Linked DNA regions of Stegostoma tigrinum. The protein of the gene in region 2 purifies or fractionates together with the protein of the main gene of each other region. This does not show direct contact. Links are inferred from orthologs where the notes say so. Each region holds a gene or a part of one and is shown on either strand. Other genes may lie near its edges. The genes, in order: katnbl1 and katanin p60 ATPase-containing subunit A1-like.

Region 1 (10,450 bases), on a different chromosome or scaffold from region 2:
AGAATGAGAATGCAAGTCATAAAACCATGAGATGACCGGATAAGGTAGATACTGGGAGGGAGTTTTGTCAAGGAGACAAAAATAAGGGAGAACAGTTTAAGAGAGAAGCTTAAAACAGAGATGAGAAGATATCTTTTCTCTTAGAGGCTTGTTGGAGTATGGAATGTGTCACCCCAAAAACTGAGTTCTCAAATGTATTCAAAGTTGAGTTTAATAGAATTTTGATCAGCAGGAGAGTCAAGATTATACAGGACAGACAGCAAAGTGGAGCTGACACCAAAAACAAAGCAGTTGTAATTTATTGAATGGCAAAAAAGTTTGAGGAGCCAAATGGTCCTCTTCCATTCCTGGGCCCTATGTCCGTACAGCTTCTATTCTTCACTGTGTAAACTAATGAAGGGAATCAGTCCATGGCTAAAGCCTGTGAGATGTGGAACGACTGAGAACTTTCTGGAAAGCTCACCTCAGATGCTGGACGTCAATCTGTTGCACTTGCTCTGGGGGTCGGGAATAACGTGACCTGACTTTTCAGCAGTGGGATGATTTGAATGATTTGCATTTGAGAAATTTTCAGACCCACGTGAACATTGACCTTTCTGTCATGCTCTTCACCCCAGTGTCTTGGATGTCTTCAAGCCACTTCCGGCCTCACATGATAGGATTGGTACTGACGGAGAAAGACAGATGAAGGGTGTACCTTTAAGGGATCACTTACAGTGGGTAGAAACAAAAGTGTTTTTTTGATCCTGGAGAATTTCTAATCTTTGAAATTGTCTTTACCAGAGAGCAGTGGAGGCTGGGTCAATGATTATGTGCACGGCTGAGTTAGAGGTTTATTTTCAATTCATTCATGAGGGCATTGCTGGACAGACCAGCATTCATTGTTCATTCCTAATTGCTCACACAGCAGTTAAGAGTCAACTACATCGCTGCACGTCTGGAGTCACACGTAGGCCAGACAAGATAAGGATGGCAGTTTCCTTCCCTAAAGGGCATTAGTGAACCAGATGGGTTTTTCCCACAATCGATAATGGATTCAGGATCCTCATTAGACTCTTTAAATGAGATATTGAACTTGAATTCCACCATCTGCTGTGATGGAATTTGAGCCCGGGTCCCCAGATCACTACCTGGTTTTGATCCATGTGAGAGTCAGAGGTTATGGCCAAATTTCAAGAAAGTACAGGTAAGGCCACAGTCAGAGTAGACATGATTTTATTGATTGGTAGAGCAGATTTGATCAGCCAAATGGCTGAATCATGTTCCAGTTCCTTATGCTGTTGTAGCTTACTGTAGCAAGATTTCAATATCTTCTCGATCACATGCTTTTAAGTTACTGTCAACATTTAAAGGCATAGGGATGCTCAGACCTCTCTCTCCTGGGTTGCATGCATTGGTTGTCTCTGGTAAAGTTCATTCAGGTACAGGCAATTCCTGTGCATTTCTGAAATGGACTGCCTCTCTCACATTGGAGTGAAAAGGAAACAGAAAATTAGCTCCAGATTCTATCCTTAATGTAGTATTTTTTTAAAATTCATTCATGGGATGTGGAAATTGTTCTTTCGTCAACACTTAGTTCTAATCCCTGGTGGCCTTTGAAAAGGTGGTGGTGAGTTGCCTTCTTGAACTGTTGCTGTTTGGTTTGGGGGTTAGGCTGTCTCCTAGACTTCTGCAGGGTACTGCACCAGAAATGTGTAGCTGTGGAGTTTAGCCTCTGCACCAGGCCCTGTGGTCACTGGCATCACTATCAGCCAGGTCCAAGACAGACAACCCAGGTATGTGGCAGTGAAGTGCAAGATGCTGTATGTCTCACGTTTGGGGTCAGTTTGGGTAGGTTCAGAGGAGCTTGACAGCTACCAGAACTAGGACACGGCTCAGTGAATGATAAAGGGTACTTTTATCATCCTGATATTTGTTGGGAGTAGGGGATGGGGTAGTGTGGATAGTAGCACGGCGGCTGTATTGTGGAGCTCGGCCACAGTGGGAGGTAGGGTTGCCATATCCCCTGGGTTGAAGTCTCCAAGAATTAAAGCTTAACTTCCTGAACACTGCCAGGCAGTGGAAAACATTACTGTGGCTTTAAGAACTGATCTTTCCTCTCTTAACATTGGTATATTAACGATAGAAATATTGGGAAAGGGAAAAACAGGCCTGTACGTGTGGGATGGTTAGAGGACACTCCAGGAATGGGAAAGTTAGCAGTCCTGGTTAGAGGAACAGCCAGATGTTGATATTGCATTTGAGAAGGTGAGTGAACTGCTGATTCTCTGGGGGCCTGATGCTGCAGGAGTGAATCAGCTGAAATGGAAAGAGCTAAGGATTGGGAGCCGCAGAGAGCAACCAAGGCCCATAATCAATTCCTGGACAGCCAGTGAGAGGAACTTGAGGGAGAATCCAGAGGACAAGCATCGTCTGACCCGCAGTGAAATCTCCCTGAGACTGAACACAGCCTAGAGACCATTTGTGGATGATAGGGTAATCTGGCTGAAGTATTTGAAGGAAACTGAAAACAGTAGTGCAACAGCACATGTATTTGCAAGAATCTACAAATACAATGCAGATGTAATGTTGGTAAATGAGGGGTTATCACATGTGAGGTAGCAAAAACAGAAAATATTATTATCTGAATGGTGATAGATTTGGAAACAGGCTGGGGTGGGTGGGGGGGGGAAGCTGTGCAATGATACCTGGGTAAATACATCAGTTGCTGAAAGTACACATGCAGGTGCAGCAGGAAATGAAAAAGGCAAATGGTATGTTGGATTCACAGCAAAATAATTCAAGTTACAGGAGCAGGAACAGACATGAGTTGCTTCAATTGTGTAGGGTCTTGGTGAGATTACTCCTGGAGTATTGTGAGCAGTTGTGGTCTCCTTATCTGAAAAAGGATGCTCTGGCTATGGGATGCTACTGCAATAAAAGTTCACCAGGCAGATTCTTGGGATAATGCGTTTGACATTGAAGGAGGACGGCATCAGTTAACCCTATATTCACTGGCAATCAGAACAATCTGCCCCGGCGTTCTCAAGGCCCAGTTCTCTTTCACTCCAACACAGACCTGATTTGCCTTTATCCACCTTCCCCTGCATTCCTGAATACCCAGTTCCTCACCAGTGGATCAGACTCCCCTGCCTGGGGACCCAACAAACAGCCCTCAGAACAGACCTATTATTGACTTCCCACTGACCTTGTGTAACAACTACATCACTTGCTTGGCCCCTTTGCCACCTTGCTCCTTACCCCCTACTTACTTGGCATACTAAACATCTGGCACCCTACTTACTTGCCATCCTACCCCCCACCCCTTCCTATTTGACATTCCACATCACTTCGCAGCCTACTTCACCCACCTCTCTACTGCATCACGCACCAACAGCGTCCTACACCATACCCACTTGACACCTTAACTTCACACGGGAAGTACTTGATCTTTGACATCAGCTCTCAAAGTGACTGTGATTGTGGGCTTTTCAATGCCAAATTACATCTTACTGTTGTGAAATGTGGGCATGGAATTCCTTTTCCTGGGCGAGACAGCTACTCCTCAGTAAATTCCGCTCACACGTTTTCCAAGAGCTTGTCCCACAATTACACCACTTGTTTTGCTGACTGTTATCATTTAAACAGCAGGAACGCTCCTATCAGGAGTTGGGGTAGGCGTTGCATTGGCCTCGTGCATTCTTAACGCTCCGGCTGGGAGGACTCTGCCATCCCGGCATGCCGTGGGCCCGAGTTGGCACGGTCCTCCGGCTGGGATCACACAGCCGTCCCGGCATGCCGTGGGCCCAGTCCTCCGGTTGGGAGGTTTCAGCCGTCCCGGCATGCTGAGGGCCTGTTTTGAATGGCGAAGGTTCAGGGAAAGGGAGAGAAGACCGGTGCGGCCTGTTAGCGCCTGAAAGGGGAGAGGAGGGGCAAATTCTAATCGCTTGCACTCCCACTGAAATGTTGTAAAATGTCCTGGTAAGTGGCCCCCTTGCTGTCCGTGGTGGCAGGAGACTCGGCTCGGGGCCTCACACTTGGACAGTTTCTGCTGGTTGGGACTTTGGGGTGGGGTGGATTGACATTAATTTTAAAAAGAGGGCTGTGTTTCTCTGCAATTCAAAATTATTTGCTAAGAAGCTCTTAAACCAGTTCCAACTAACTGCCCGCGTACTCGTAATCAATGCAAGACAACTCGTCGTTAACAATTAAAACTCAAACCACGACCTTTTATGTGACTTTATGGTTAATTTTATAAATTCTGAAAACGCTTGTTTGGTTTCAAAAATTGGGGATGGGACTCTTCATCTCGTTTTTATCCTGAAAGACGCGACGGATCTTATTGGAAAATCTAGCTTCGTTTGGATCCATTTTGTTTGCCTGGCTAGGAGTGGCATGAAGGGAAATCTGTTTAAAAAGGGTAAAGTTGTCAAAACCGCATTTTGTGGAATTGGTTGGCAGGCAGATTTTTACTGTATGACAACTGGTGATTTATTTATAGCTGCTGCGAATGTTAACTTGCAAAGCTACCTTACTATTTGAACAAGCAAATCTGTTCAGTTTTTGAACCTGGCCTCGTTTTAAGTGTGAAGTTGTTACTTCCTCGGAATCCTGTTTTGTGGGATGCCTTGAGTTTTGAATGATGTGAATGGACAGCACTGAATGGTGAGACCTGCCGATAATGGTGGCTAAATAAACCTACTGTATCAATAGAATGTTCTGTACCATAAGACTATGAAGCAGATTCTATGATTTTTCATTCTTTTTTTTTCAAAACACTTGATAAAAGAGGATTAGGATTTCTAAAAACTTTTTATTTTACTTGGGACATTTGTGAATGTACCTGGTAGAAAATCACAGCATGGTTCAGATTGGTGATATTGTTGGAATTATAGCAAAAAATATTCATGCTGATCAAGACTGTCAAAAATATTGAATGGTCATTAATCCCATTGAAATGTTATACAGTTGTACAACAATATTTCATTTGTCTGCTTCAGAGTCTCATTGAGCTTTTTTGCATTAACATTTTATAGGAGAGAGTTATTTAAATTCTTCCTGTACCTGTGATTTCTAAACATCAGGAAGGCAACATCTCCAAACCACTTCATTTATGGCCAAGTAATATCAATAAACAAAGTGTTTGTGTAGATGTAAATTAATTATTACTTGTCACTAATAAGTGACATTGCATTAATGAACTTTAATACTTGAACTGCTGTCAGGTCTAGACAGTGAGTTTTAAGAGAGGGTTTCCTGATTTTTAATGTCTTCCACTGACTTGAGCACATCTTGAGCTACACTGACATCATTCGCAATAATGTGAAAAGAACACACAAAACCTAACCTTGTATGTAATACTATTTAAAATGATGTCTGAATCCTGAGTTCTTGTAACATCTTCCTAATGGTTAAAGAAATAAATTCATACCACATTGTAATTACTGTAATTGAAAATTGCAGATGTTCCAAGATGATTGCAATATTATTGATTTTAAATTCTCTTAATGTTTTTAAGAATCCTTTCTTAACCCCTGTTTTGTTTGAATCATTATGTTAACTTCAAGAGTAATTTAAAAACTGGGGAATGTACTAAGTGTACAATAAAGCAGGATTCAGAGCTTGGCTACATACTACTATGTGACAAATTTCCACTTTAAGATCTTTTTCAGTATGCTATTTTTTTGGTTTCTCTTTCCTGGTTTTGAGTGTTTCGCATCTGTTCAATTGTTTTACTAGATACAGTAGTTCTTAATGCAAATCAAAATACTGTCATTTCTGGTAATACTCTGGTCTCACAACAGACCAGTATCCGGGAGAAGTCATTACAAGCGATACACTATGACCCAGGAAGAAAAATGGAGAGGGAAAGAATGATGGAATGGGAGAAAACCAAAAAAAAAGTTTAAATTATACATTCCTAAATTCTTAAATATTTAGGACCTTAAGCAATGTGCCTTATTACTGACAGTAGTTAATTGTCAGTATCGGGGAGCGTTTACAGTTATAAATAACACTTAGTATGCTGTTGACCTATAATGGACTTGATAAAAGACAAATTTTACTACATCTGTAAAGGGTCTTGGTAAAACCACATCTCTGAATATATTTCATATATAGTAGGAACTGACGATGCTGGAGAATCTGAGATTCCTGCTCCTCTGATGCTGCTTGGCCTGCTGTGTTCATCCAGCTTCACACCAAGGTATATGAAATATATACAGTTAGGTCTGTTTATTCGGAAGATATACAATTATGTTAGAAGCAATTCAGAGGTCCACTTGACTCATTTCGCAGAAGAAAGATTGAATAGATTGGGCTGTACCCATTGGAGTCTAGATGATTCAGAGATGATCTTATTGACACGATACTGAGGGCAATTAATGAAGTGGATGCTGGGAGGATATTTCCTGATACGGGTGAAGCTAGTATTAGGGGGCCACAGTTTAAAACTAAGAGGACGCCCTTTTAAGTTCGGGGAAAATGTTTTTTCTGTTGGATGTGGAACACTCTTCTGGAGAAAGCAGTGGAGGCTTGCACTGAGGCTAGTCAAAGTGGGTTAAACAGATTTTAGATCAACAGTGCAATTGAGGATTATAGGAGCAGGCTGGAAAGTGGAGTTTAGGCCATAATCAGATCAGCGATGACCTTACTTAATAGTTGGGCATGTAGTTGCAGTACTGAAGCAGTGCAAGTTCAAATGCATTAATCAGGACAATATCCAGGCTTGGGCTGAAAAGTGGCAAGTAACTTTCATGCCATATAAATGCCAGGCAATAACCACCTAACCACCATCCCTTGAAGTTCAATCATTTTACCATTTACTGAATCCCCCACAGTCAATAAGCTTGGGGCTACCACTGACCAGAAACTCAACTGAACTGCCCACATAAACACAGTGGCTACAAGAGTAGGTCAGGATTGAGGCATACTGCAGCAAGTAACTGATCTCCTGACTCCCAAAGCCTGTCTACCATTTACACGGCACAAGTCAGGATGTGATGGAGAACTCCCACATGCGTGGATGAGTAGAACTCGAACAACATTCAAGAAATTTGATACCAAATGGAACACAGTGGCCAGCTTGATAGTTACCACATCCACTCCCTCCGTAACTAATGCATCTCTTAAATAGTACTGCTGCTCCTGAGCAGTACGGCAGGTTGCCAACGATCCTTGCCACCTTCTAAATCCACGACAGCTTCTGTCTGGAAGTACAAGGTCAGCAGATGGAGTTGTTGGTTTGGTGTCCCAAGCTGACTGGTTTTCATTCAGACATTTCATGTCACCCCCTTCTAGGTGACATCGTTGATGCTGTGTAGTCTCCTTTTTGAAGTTTTTTTTTCCCGGGTCCTTAATGATTGCTCAACATCCATCATTTCCTTGAATATAGGATCTCTTCCAGACTTGCTGGGACCAATTCCCAGGTGTTGACCTCCTTACTAGCCAAAGTCTGCCATCTGTTTAAACAAAATGCTGTTCGCAGGGCAGCTGTGCCTCTTCAAACCCATTGAATCAAGAATCAGCCTACAGTTAACCTCCAAGTCTGCCATCCCAAATAAGCAAAAAAGTTTGTTTAGTCTGTTCGTTTCCTTTTACCAGGCTGTTTCCCAAAGTCCACTCGTCATTAGTTCCAATCAAAGTTAGTAAAGTAATAGCAGTAAAAATAATGAAAAAGCAGAAAGGTTCCAATGTTGCAAAATTCTGGAACTACATTTAATTCCAATGTTCAGTCTAAAGTTGAACAACAACTTGTGCACGATCTGCATGAGAGCATTCGAACTTTTGAGTTGCTGCATGGCCACAGCGGGGATGAAGGTTTTAAAGCGGCTGCATACTTGATCAAATCACTTGAGTAATCTTTTGAAAAAACAAAGAGGCTCCGTTGTTTGGCATGCCTAAATTAGCTTTAGGCAAATTTTTTTAAGGTAATTGTTCATAAACTTTTTTTTTGTTTTTGTTAACCTATTTTTCTAATCAACCTGTTCAGAGATGTTATTATACACCTCTGCTGCAGGTGGGATTTGTGGTTCGGAGATAGGGGCACCCAGTTGCATGGCAAGATTCATCCAGTGTTAAACTTACCTAATATGGTACCTTTTGAATATATTGTCAAGTATAGCAGACTGTTAAATTTATTGTCCTGTGATGCCACTGAGTAACAACTAAAATAAATGATGCAACATTGCAAGCAGAATTACTGTGCAAAATATGATAAGCTGTTGATGCATTTCTATAGGCCTTCATTTGTGGCTTATATGTATCAATAGTTCCTGAAATAACACCTGATAGTTTTGAAGGAAGCACTGTATGTTAATTAAAAAGGAAGTCTCAGGTGACACTGTTTAATTTGAGTTTAATTGGAGAGGAACTGCATATTCAAGAATAGTGATTGAGTATGTTTTTGATTTTAAAATCATAGATTTATATTATTTAAAAATCAAGGAAATCCAGATGCTGGAAATGTAAAACAAGTGTTGCAGAAACTCTGGCACCATCTGTGCAGAGAAAACAGAAATAAAGCGTTGAGTCCAGTGACACTTCGTCAGACCTGAAAATAGCTGGGATGTGGTGGAGGTTAAATAGAGCACCTGAAGATGAAACTGAGAAAGAGTGAAAAGGGATAGTCAAACAAAGAGATTACTCTTGGCCAACCAAGAGAAATTCTGGGTCAGGTGCTGATGAGACATGTAAATGGTTGAAACTGGCTGTACTGGGAGCAGCCCACACAGAACAGGATTTAAGGGTGTGAGGACAGGTCGTGAACATGGGTGGGTGGTTCTGAAATGTTGACATGGGAATATAGTGCTATATTGAAGTGGAAGGTGACCAGAAAGTCAGTCATTTTTACCACCAAAGTGATCACCCACTCTCCATTTCATCTTCCCAGTGTAAAGGAGGCCACATTGGAGGAATGAATACAGAGACTGGATTGAATGAAGAGCAGGCAAATCACTGCTTCACCTGGAACATGTATCTTGGATCTTGGGTCATTGGGAAATAAATGGACAAGTGCTGCATCTTCTATGATTGTATGGGCAGGTGCTGTACAGGTGTTGGGAGTGACTAAGGTGTCCTGGTGGGAATGGCCTCTGCAGAATGCTGACGGGAGAGAGGGAATATGTGTCCCATAGTGGAATCTCACTGGAGTTGGTGGAAACCAACTATGATACAGAGGCAACGTAGGCAGGTGAGAGGGGAACAAAATGCTGAGGGGAGTGCAGAAAATGAATAAGGCACACAAGGCAACACAGTGGTGGGGAACCCTTGACTGAGGAAAAGGGTGTTGTTTTTTTTTTTTGTTGGTTATAATTCAGGGCAATGGAACAGATGGAAAATTGGAAACCTGAGTGTGAGTGGGAGGAGGGGTGGAGCTGGTGTATTGTTATCTTGAGCATACAAATAGCAAACAGATGGACTAGAGGGCGTCTGAAACTGTTGAAAAGACTTAAATTTGTGCAGTGCTTTTCATACCAGCAGCTGTCTCAAAGTGCTTCAAAACATTTGGAGCCCTTTTTTAATATGGGGAACAACAACACCCATTTGTGCTTTGCCAATCCCACAGATTATATGATAACAACCAACTAATCTGAATTTGGCATGTTGATTGAGGGATAATTATTAGCTATTGGGAATAACTGCCCTGTTCCTCTTCAGAATAGTACCATGGGATCTTTTGCATGACCAGGTCAGGGGGCATGATTTGATGTCTCAACCAAAAATTGTAGTGCGTTAACTGCCAACTTCTTTACTTTTTATATTTCAACCTTGAAATGGCACTTGAACCCATAATCTTGTGACTCCGGCAGGAGCATTGCTGACTGAGCTGTAGCTGATGCTTATCTGGGAACAGCCAAGAATGTGGCCTGGAAATAACAAAGTTCAGGATATATGCTGAGCAGAAATTTGTAAAAAAGTCTGAAAGTGTTTTTACAATGAAATAAATTTCATAAAATCTGTCTGAACAAATATTACCAGCTCCTAATTTATCCATTTCAGCCTGGCTCCAAGCTTTGCAAGTCTACCTCCTTGAACGAAGTTCTGCATCTCCACTTTTATCAGTTCATCTGCCTGAATAAAGAACAATGGATTTCTTTTAAGATCTTCCCCTTCGTGCTCAGGACCTTCATCATCTTGCCCCATCTCACCATAATCACTTCCTTGAGCAATTAATTCACATAAGACTTGAGAGCAGAATTAGGTTATCCAGCCCACCATGTCTGCTACTTCAGTCAGATCCTGGCTGATCTGTTAATCCTGAACTGCACTTCCCTGCCATTCCCTATAACGTATGATTCCATTACTGATGTAAAATCTGTCTATCTCAGCCTACAGATTTAATGACCCAACCTCAACAACCTTCTGCAATAAAGAATTTCACAGATTCTCAACTCTCCAAGAGAAGAAATTCAACCTTCATTTTGTCTTAAATGTACAATGTGACAATACTACAACTTTAAGAGGTGTATTT
Region 2 (10,450 bases):
AAATGAAAACAGTCTTATTTCTGAATTATTGCGTTGTTAAAATATGCCTAAAACAATTTTGTCAGTAGTCAGCTTTAAAATTTAAGATCTGTATAATTAAGATAATTCTTTTGACACTTTCTTTACATTATAAAATCAATTTTGAAAGCACATTCAGATTAAGTTAGCATCTCAGCTGTATAAGAAACACAATGGTCACAACCATACAACTGGTTTGTTGAACCACATACAATACCTGTAATCATAGTGCAGCTATACAACTGAACAGCTTTATTAATAGCATAATAATTTTTCATTAAAATAGTAATCTGAAACCATTTTAAATCATGAAATACAATATGGTCATGGCCCACATCAATTCCAGTCTTCCAACCTGCCTCAATCCTCTACAATTTGCCAACTGACAATGCCATATCCCTAGCCCTGCACTCACCCTGGAACATCTGGACAACAAAGACACCTACATCAGACTCCTGCTTGTTGACTGCAGCTCTGCCTTCAACACCATTATTCGTTTGCAATGGATCTCAAAACTGTGTGGCCTTAATCTTGGCTCTGTCCTCCGCAACTGGGTCCTCAGCTTTCTGACCCATAGTGAGGATAGGTAACTGCACCTTCTCCACAATAACACAAAACTGGAGACCCCGTAAAGACTGCCCTCAGACCCCTACTGAACTCCCTGTACACCTACGACTGCATTGCCAAACTCCAAACAAATGCCATCAACAAAGTTTGCTGACAGATATTTAATAACGAGTCAAAATACAGAAGGGAGGTAGAAAGCTTGGTGATGTGGTGCAATGAAAACAACCTGTCTCTCAACACTGGCAAAGCTAAGGAACTGATCATCAACTTCAGAAAGAAAGGAGAACACGTCTCCACCTACATAAATGGAATTGAGGTTGAGATAGTGAAGAGCATCAAGTTCCTCAGAGTGATGATAATTGACAACCTGCCCTGGACTTCCCACGTAAACACAACAGTCAAGAAGACACAGCGCGTCTTCTTTCTCAGGTGGCTCAGGAAATTTGGCATGTCCTTCATCAACTTCTACAGATGCACCACAGAAAGCATACTATCCAGGTACATAACAGCCTGATATAGCAACTGCTCTGCCCAGCACTAAGAAACTACAGAAGGTGGCGTGCATAGCCCATGCCATCTCAGAAGCTAGCCTTCCATCCATGGGCTCTATTAATATGGTTCACTGCAGCTGAAAGGCAGCCATCATAAAAGACTCATCGTACCCTGGTAATGACCTCTACAACCTGTTCCATCAGGCACAAGATACAGAAGCCTGAACACATGCATGAGCAGGTTCAGGATCAGCTTCTTTTCAGCCATTATCAGACTGCTGAATGAACTCTAGCCTCAGATGATGTAACCTGCAATATAATCTGTATGCCTCGGTCTTCTTGATCTGTACGCCTCGGACTTCTTGATCTGTACATCCTGAGCTAGCTGTGATCTGCCTGTCCTGCTCGTAAACAAAGCTTTTCATTGTATTTTGGTGCACATGACAATCAATTTATGATTAGCCTTTTACCCCCACAATAAAATCACAGCTCCCATTTTTCTTGACTCGATTTTGTTTTCAAATAAGATTTTTCCATCAGTGTAATTCAACTGAAAATGGAAGCTAAAAATTGAATATTTATGAGCTTTAGGGCTATGGGTCAAGAGTTGGAAAATGGAATAGTGTACTCAGATCTTTGTTGACTGGTGTCAGACCCTGGCCCAGAATACATGTACAAGGTCCCAAAACGTGGCTTCAGCTCTTGTTTTGCTGATTGGTATTTGCTACCAGAAAGCTAAGGTGGTAAAGAAAATCAGTATATCAGTGAATCACACTTTTGTCACAATATTACACAGTGATTTTTAAACTAAGATCCGTAAAAAAGTGACAACAGTTTTCTCGTCATGGCCAACATTCCAGATGGGTAACTGTCTAGTGCAGGATAATCAAGAGTAAATGAATGAGCAATGGCTGAAGAAGGACTTGGCGTGAGCGAAGAGGCAGCAACAGAGTGCACTCACTATATTTACAGGGCTGAGCCGAATAGCTGTTTCACCCGACAGGGCAGTAGGCTTGGAGAAGCATTGAGAATGGCACAAAGTCAGCAGGTAGACTGAAGCTGCCAGGTGAAATCAGCTTTGTTTCAGAGTATTCTTAAACAAACAAAAAAAATCCTTTAAATATTATATACTTAAACAAGAAGAACTAAAATAGAAATTTAACCAGAGCATCAATTTCCCTAAAAGATCTAAGTCAGATTTGTGTGGAATGATACGAGAGTCATTGTCAAACATAAGGCCAAGGATACACAAAACTGCAGTGAGATGCAGATATATCAATGTTGCTGATGACCATAGTAAATACAGTACTGTACGTTTTCTTAAAAACATCATAAAACCTTTACAAGGTAAATGATAAGGTATTATCATTTACGTGAAGAATTCGCAATTTTAATCCATCCAAGATATTTAAAAACCAGGAACAAAAACAAAGTTGCTGGAAAAGCTCAGCACATCTGGCAGCATCTGTGGAGGAGACATTAACCTGAAATGTTAACTGTTTTCTCCTCCACCAGAGCTTCTCCTGCCAGAGCTTTTCCAGCAATAGTAGGAACTGCCAATGCTGGAGAATCTGAGATAACCTGGTGTGAAGCTGGTTTAACACAGCAGGCCAAGCAGCATCAGAGAAGCAGGAAGCCTGATGTTTCAGGCCTAGACCTTTCTTCAGAAATATTGAGAGATATAAAATGAGAATCTCTTCCCCATGGCAGACGTGTCAAAGGCTAAACGGCACAAGTTCAATGTGGAGAGCAAGTGGTTTAGAGGAGATATGACAAAATGTTTTCAGCCAGTGGGTGGTAGATATACAAAACATGCTGCCTGACTCTTGCAACACTTTAGAAGCATCTGGATGAGTACTTGAAACATTAGGGTACAGTAGGATATGGACCAAGTGCAGGTAAATTGGATTTGCATAGTTTGGCCAGCACAGATGTGGCAGGCCCATTTACCTCCTCCCTCACCAGTATCCAAGGGCCCAAACATGCCTTCCAAGTGAAGTAACACTTGATCTGCACTTTGCAGAATTTGGTCAACTGCATTCACTGCTCACAATGTGGTCTCCTCTACATTGGGGAAACAAACGGTAGACTGGGTGACCGCGTCACAGGACATCTACGCTCTGCTTGCAAAAAGACCCTGAGCTTCCAGTTGCCTGCAACGTTAACACACTACCCTGTTCCCTGGCCAACATGTCTCAAGCTTGCTCTAGTGTTCCAGTGAAGCTCAGCACAAGCTAGAAGGACAACTCATTTTTCGCTTGTGGACTCTGCAGCTCTCCAGACTCAATAGAATTTGATAATTTTAGGGCCCGAATCTCCCATGTCCTAGATCCCAACCCCACACACCAGTCCTCGTTATCACATAGCTTGCCATCAGACACCACCTATTGTTCATCACTAATAGTTCCTATTAACTGCTATTCACCTAATCGTTATCAACTCCTTTGTCTATCCAAATGCTGTTCTCTCTCTGGGCTCCATCCTTCATCCTTTCGTTCACTCTACCCCATCCCTCTCTCTCACTGATGTCAGGTTAACAAGTCTGTGGTTTTTTGTTTTCTCTCCATCTAATTTAAATAGCAAGATTACATTTGCTATCTTCCAAACTGCAGAATCTATTGAATTTTGGAAAACCAGTAATAACTCCATCATCTCTTCAGCCACCACTTTCAAAACTTGGAGACGTGGTTCATAGGGCCAGGGTAATTCACCGACTTTCAGTCCCATGTAACACATTCAGCATTTGATACGTGAAGTCACTACTCAAAGCCACGAATATTCTCTCGCTCAGTTCGGGGAGATTTTTTTTGCTTCATTTCCTCGTTTCAACGTTTTCCTCATGGCGGCAGCCACACACGTTTGCTGTTTTGCTACTTGTATTAAACTACACAACTTTGATGAAAGGTCAGCGAACCGAAAGGTTAACTCTCGTTTATGTTGGCTCATGATATTGTCTGACCCGTTAAGTGTTTTAGTATTTTTTTGTCTCATGTACCAGGAAGGCAGCAAGGACTGAGTCAGTGAGAAACAAACAAGAGGACATTCTGGAGGGGTCGTTGCACCCGAAATGTTAACTCTGCTTCCGCTCGACATATGCTGCTACACCTGTCGAGTTTTTCCCCAATAGTTTCTGGTTTTGTTTCTGATTTCTAACAACCGCAGTTCTTGGGTTTTGTGTTGTTTTTAAGCAACAGTTCGGAATGGGGTCAATCATCCCGGCCTGTTTGGAGCAAATACTGAAACACAGCCACGGCACTGATACAGAAGTGGACGGTGTCACTTACCCTCCATTGAAAAAAGTATCATGCAGAAATTTAAGTAAAACAAAAACTCTGTGGTGTTACAAACGAGATAAAATGTAGAGTACGAACTAGAGGGGAAGGGGGGGGGGATTGCAAGTGGAACCGAAGTTGTCCAGCATGCCTAACTTTTCCGGGTTCAGGTATCACAGCATTTGTTTATTTTATAACAGGGTAATGGAATATAGCGGTTGTAACCTTGACCCAATTAAACTATGCTGAAGTACCTGTTGCATCCAAGTACAGACGTACGAAACCGGTATACCGATCAACACGATAAGTAACCGCCGCCTAGAAACTCCTGTAGGTGACACGGATAACGATGGGGAGGAATGGACCTGGTGACGGCAGCGCAGGCGCATAGGACATGGACCCGGGTGACGGCAGCGCAGGCGCAAAGTATTGTGCCGCTTTCTCCGGCTGTGGTATATAGCTCTGAGCCGCGTCAGGTGACGCGATTCACCTGGCAGCCATTTCGCGACGTTGTTAAGACAAAATGGCGGTGCTGCTCGAAACGACTCTGGGAGATTTGGTGATCGATTTATATACGGAGGAGAGGCCGAGGGGTTAGTGGTAATTCGAAGAGGCAGTTCTCAGTACACATTCCATTCTATGGTTAGGCTTGTTCACATTTTTTGAACAAAAAAAAGTTCTGTAACGGGAGATGGAGAAGCCTCAGCGGCCTAGCTTTACATATTTTCAGCAGTATTATCCAACATCTGAAGACATCTCAAAACATTGCACCGTGGATTCAGTACTTAACTGTAGTCACTGTTCTATTTTAAGCAAAAACTCCTACAAGTATCGGTATGGTAATGACCAGATAATTTTAGTGATATTAACTGACAAATATTTTGCTACAGAGGAGAACACCCCTATTCAAAACAGTGGCCACTTTTGCATTCACCTGAAGGGTAGTGAGGGACTCGATTTGAGACAAGTACCGTGTTGCAGTATTAGTTTGGATGAGTGAGACTTGAACTATCCGTCCTGAAGAGGGATAGTAACCGAAATGTTGACTGCTCCTTTCCTCTAGATGCTGCCTTTCTTGCTCTGTTCGTCCAGCCTCCTGTTTGCTACCTTGGACGCGCAATTTCCTGACTCCCAGGCGCAAGAGACCCAGAATTATAGTTTTGTTTTAACAATGCACTGGCGATGTAAAGATGAAACTGTCCCAAAACATTTCACACTGGTAAAGCACGTTAAAGCGGAAATTAAGGCACTTTATTTCTTTGAAGCTTGATGCAGTTTAAAAGTAGAACTTTTGAGATTTGTGTAGTGTTTCACATGTGTAGAATTTGCCTCAGTGGCGGGGAGACGATTTAAAAAACGTCAATACCTAGCAAGAAAACGGAGTTCTGAAAAAGCAAGAAGGCATTTGAAACAAGGAGGGAGGTTGAGGAATGTGAAGAAACCAAAGAACAGTTATGTTGGTGAAAGATTGTTCACAATTAATAGATCAAAATTTCTGAAATATCAATAATTTCCTAATGATATCCTATTTGTTGTGAAATAATTTTGAGCTTAATTTTTTTTGTTTGTAGCCTGCTTGAATTTTCTGAAGCTTTGTAAGATCAAGTATTATAATTACTGCCTCATCCACAATGTTCAGGTGAGTTTCTATTAGCTTTTACAATCTTTAAACCTTGTAAATTTTCCCAGAAATGTTCTTCATAAATTGTTTGATCTGGTATTTTGTAATGTGTGTTATTTATTATTAACAACACAGAACTAGACTGTTTTGCATGTTAGCTTTTTTTAAAAATCCAAGGATCTCGTCACCCTTCAGAAAATGAGCTGTTTTCTTGAATCACTGTAGTCCGTATTGTGTCAGTAGTCCCATGAGAAAGAGTGTTCCAGGATTTTGACCCAGCATCACTCGAGGACCAATGGCACCCAAGTCAGTAGCTTGGAGGGGAACTTACAACTGGTGGTGAGAGATGGTAGGAACTGCAGATGCTGGAGAGTCTGAGATAAGGTGTAAAGCTGGATGAACACAGCAGGTCAAGCAGCATCATAGGAGCAGGAAGGCTGAATTTCTGAAGAAGGGTCTAGGCCTGAAATGTCAGCCTTCCTGCTCCTTTGCTGCTTGGCCTGCTGTGTTCATCCAGCTCTACACCGTGTTATCTCTTATTACAGCTGGTGGTGTTCCCAGGTATATTGTCCATATCCTATTAGATGGTAATGATTGTTGGTTTGGAAGGTGCTGTGAAGTTCTGCAGCGTATATTGTAGATGCTGCTATTGAGCATCAATGGTGAAGGGAGTGAATATTTGTGGATATGGTGCCAATGAAGTAGGCTGCTTTGTCCTGGATTGTGTTAACCTTTTTGAGCATGGTTGGAGGTACACTTATCCAGGTGAGAGGGTAGTAAACCATCACACTTTTGACTTGTGCTTTGAGGAATCAGGAGGTGTGTAACTTGCTGCAGAATTCTGAGCCTCTGACCTCCTTTGCAGCCACAGCATTTGTATAGCTAGTTCAGTTCAGTGTCTGGTCAATGGTAATTCCCCAGAGGTGTTGATATTTGGGGGTTCAGCAATTATAATGCTGGGAATGGTTAGATTCTCTCTCTGTAATTGGAAATGGTTATTGCAAGGGACGTGTGTGGTGCAAGTGTTGTTTTGATGCGGAGATGCTGTTGTTGTGCTAGGGTATACACTGTTTTCAGGGCATAGCCCCTTTGTCAGGTGCAGTGACAGAGAAGAGCACACAAACACATTGCGTGGAGTGTCGGATAATTCTTTCTCGGTGGCTAAGAGTGTTATGAGTGAAGTGTCAACAGGTGAATAACCAGTGAAGAGATGACCTGTGATCCAATTAAATGAGGCAGAGAGATAATCACAAAAAATTAAAACTGTGTCTGTGTGCTCTTCTCTGTCCCTGCACCTAACAAAGGGGCTGTGCTCTGAAAGGTTATAATTTCAAATAAACCTGTTGGACTGTAACCTGGTGTCATGTGATTTCTGACAAATGTTGTTTGCCATTTGTCAGCCCAAATCTGGATAATATAACCAAGTTGGACAATAATTGCTGATCCACCCAGTAATGCCCACATCCCATGAATAAAGTCAAATGCTAATGTGCTGTACTATCCGGTCCTCTCTACTCTTTTTTGATATTCAATATTGCTGTATTTGGAGGTGAACTGCTTATAATTTTAGTAAAGCCCAAATGGATTTGTGAACCGTGGTGAGTGTGCCACGTATTTATGGAATGTTCACTTGAACTGTGGAGAATAATTAAGATTTCACAGATTTAAATTTTCTTAGTCCATGGTCAGTAACAGCAAAGCCCTCCTTCACATCTTGGTCACCGACCCTTCCTCACCTCGTACCATCCGCTCCCATTCTTACTTGATCCTCACACCCTGTCTTACCTCACCAGTCCTTGCCTTTTACAGCTTCCTCTCCAACCCGACCCATTCCATTCCATCCCGTCCCCTTCCACCTGCCCCCTGCCCACTCGTTATATCCTGAATACCCCCCACCTACTCCATGTCGTCCACTCCATTCCATTTCCTCCAGCCTGTCCCCACCCATCCACTCCTACCCATTACAGCTCGCTCCCCCCACTTCCAGCCCATCTCACCGCCTGACAGGTCTAGCCCATCCGCCTCCTGCTCATTGCTCCCACCCATTCCATCATGTCCCCTCTCTCGCCTGTTCCACCCTGTCTCCTACTACTCATTCTTCCCCCCCGTCGCCCATCCATCCCTCCTGCCCACCCTTCTATCCTATTTGACCTGAACCCAGTCCCTCCCAACCCCACCCACCATCCCCTCTCTCTTTTATCCCGTTCCCGTCTCCTGTAATACCCCTTCCATCTTCCCTTTTTCACACTACCACCCCTTCCCCCTCACATCCTTTCCACTCCTCCTCCCCCACACCCCCTTTCCATCCCCTCTCTCACACTTCCTTTTTCCATACCTCTCTCTTAGATCCTCTTCCTGTCCCCTAATTTGACAGGTGAAACTTAATGCAAGAATTAAAACTTCAGTGCCTGTGTACACATCTGGTCATTTGTCATTTATTCAATTCTAATGTGTTTTGTAACAGAGGGACTTTATTATACAGACCGGTGATCCAACTGGCAGTGGTCGTGGAGGAGAATCCATTTTCTGGTTGGTGCCTTTCAAATATTTTAATGAAGTCAATAGCTGAACCATATTTCAGATTCTAATCAGAATTCTGCTAAATGATACCTTTCGCATTTCCTGCTGTTGAAGTCCAGTAAAGTTTCAGAAGCTGAGTTTGTAAACTTAAGTGAGGATCACAGCTGGGCTACTGGTAGCACTATTGCTACTGATTGATTCTGCATTCAAGTGAATCCTTGAGTGCCTATTGCCAGGCACGCTAGTGCAGTATTAAGGAAGAATACCATTTGTTTGAGATATTGTTTTTCAAGTGACAAGTTAATTTCTGTTTCCCTGTGTTGGTGGCCACAAAAAGCTGCCATGTCACTATTGGAAGACCAGTCAAGTTCTTTTGGTTTCCTGCCCAACACTCATCTGTCAGACAACATAGAAATGTTTTTATTGCTTCTTTATCGTAATGCCCAAGAGTTTCACAAGAGTATCAGAATAAAATCAAATTGTCACTGTCGCTGGAATTTATGGGACCTGCACTGTGCACAAATTGGCTAGCACATAACTGTACTGACTACACTTCAACAATGGACTACCAGTGAATAAAAATTCGAAGTGGGAAGTGTGACTGAGGTTGCTTTGTTCGCTACCCTGACTTCAGTAAACACTTTAAAGTGGAGGTTGATATTAGTAGAGATAGTAGGAACTGCACATGCTGGAGAATCTGAGATAACAAGGTGTAGAGCTGGATGAACACAGCAGGCCAAGCAGCATCGGAGGAGCAGGAAGGCTGATGTTTTGGGCCTAGATCCTTCTTCAGAAATGGGGGAGGGGAAGGGCATTCTGAAATAAATAGGGAGAGGCTGATAGAAGATGGATAGAGCAGAAGATAGGTGTAGAGGAGACAGACAGGTCAAAGAGGCGGGGATGGAGCCAATAAATGTGAGTGTAGGTGGGGAGTTTCGGAGGAGATAGGTCAGTCCAAGGAGGATGGACAGGTCAAGGAGGTAGGATGAGGTTAGGAGGTAGGAAATGGGGGTGGGGCTTGAAGTGAGAGAAAGGGATAGATGGGAGGAAGGACAGGTTATGGAGGCGGGGACAAGCTGGCTTTGGGATGCGGATGTTAGTACTTAGGGGTGGTCTTGTTGCAAGAAGATGAATCAGGCATAGAGAAATTTTGCATGTTCAGGAATGCACAAAAACTGATTTCCAATTTTCTCTGCTTTTTCCCCCCATTTGCCTTGGCACTTTATCAATTACATCAAGTTATCACAATCATTTACCCTTGTACAAAGGATGTCTTTCTGTCCAGTGAATGTTATGTCAAATCCGAGGGCCATACAGGTAGCTGGTGCCTTTTTTGCCAGGATTCAAGGCTGAACATTGATTGCTTGTATTCATGTAGTACGAGAGAACCAGATTGATTGGATTATGTTTGATATGTTGACCAAACGCTGCTTTGTTTGGATGAAGTCGTCATAACACTCGGGGTTATTAGCTTCAGCTTCTTTGTTGGCTGGCCGTGCTAACTTGCCTAACTCCAGACCAGCTGGTTGAGCTTCAATTAACGACTTAATGAGTTATCACCATCTTTAAAGAAAGTTTGGATACCTTAATGATAATGGGAACTGCAGATGCTGAAGAGTCCAAGATAATAAAATGTGAGGCTGGATGAACACAGCAGGCCAAGCAGCATCTCAGGAGCACAAAAGCTGACGTTTCGGGCCTAGACCCTTCATCAGAGAGGGGGATGGGGTGAGGGTTCTGGAATAAATAGGGAGAGAGGGGAAGGCAGACCGAAGATGGAGAGAAAAGAAGATAGGTGGAGAGAGTATAGGTGGGGCCTCCTGCAGTGCCACAATGATGCCACCCGAAGGTTGCAGGAACAGCAACTCATATTCCGCTTGGGAACCCTGCAGCCTAATGGTATCAATGTGGACTTCTCGAGCTTCAAAATCTCCCCTTCCCCCACCGCATCCCTGAACCAG

The links.
Region 1: the proteins of katanin p60 ATPase-containing subunit A1-like (region 2) and katnbl1 purify together in Homo sapiens (affinity purification with mass spectrometry; 3 studies listed by BioGRID and IntAct, counting the BioPlex papers as one, with this or other methods). This does not show direct contact. The link is inferred for Stegostoma tigrinum from reciprocal best matches to the Homo sapiens genes KATNA1 and KATNBL1.

The regions. Positions count from the first base shown.
Region 1 is NC_081363.1:67,764,569-67,775,018, reverse strand, and holds the start of katnbl1 (KATNB1-like protein 1), read left to right. Parts: upstream 1-3,721; 5' UTR 3,722-3,960; intron 3,961-10,450.
Region 2 is NC_081357.1:93,794,863-93,805,312, reverse strand, and holds the start of katanin p60 ATPase-containing subunit A1-like, read right to left. Parts: upstream 4,728-10,450; 5' UTR 4,612-4,727; coding exon 4,603-4,611; intron 1-4,602. Other genes in the region: ppil4 (peptidyl-prolyl cis-trans isomerase-like 4), read left to right, coding at 4,872-4,941, 5,920-5,987, 8,434-8,498. UniProt on the Homo sapiens protein: Catalytic subunit of a complex which severs microtubules in an ATP-dependent manner. Microtubule severing may promote rapid reorganization of cellular microtubule arrays and the release of microtubules from the centrosome following nucleation.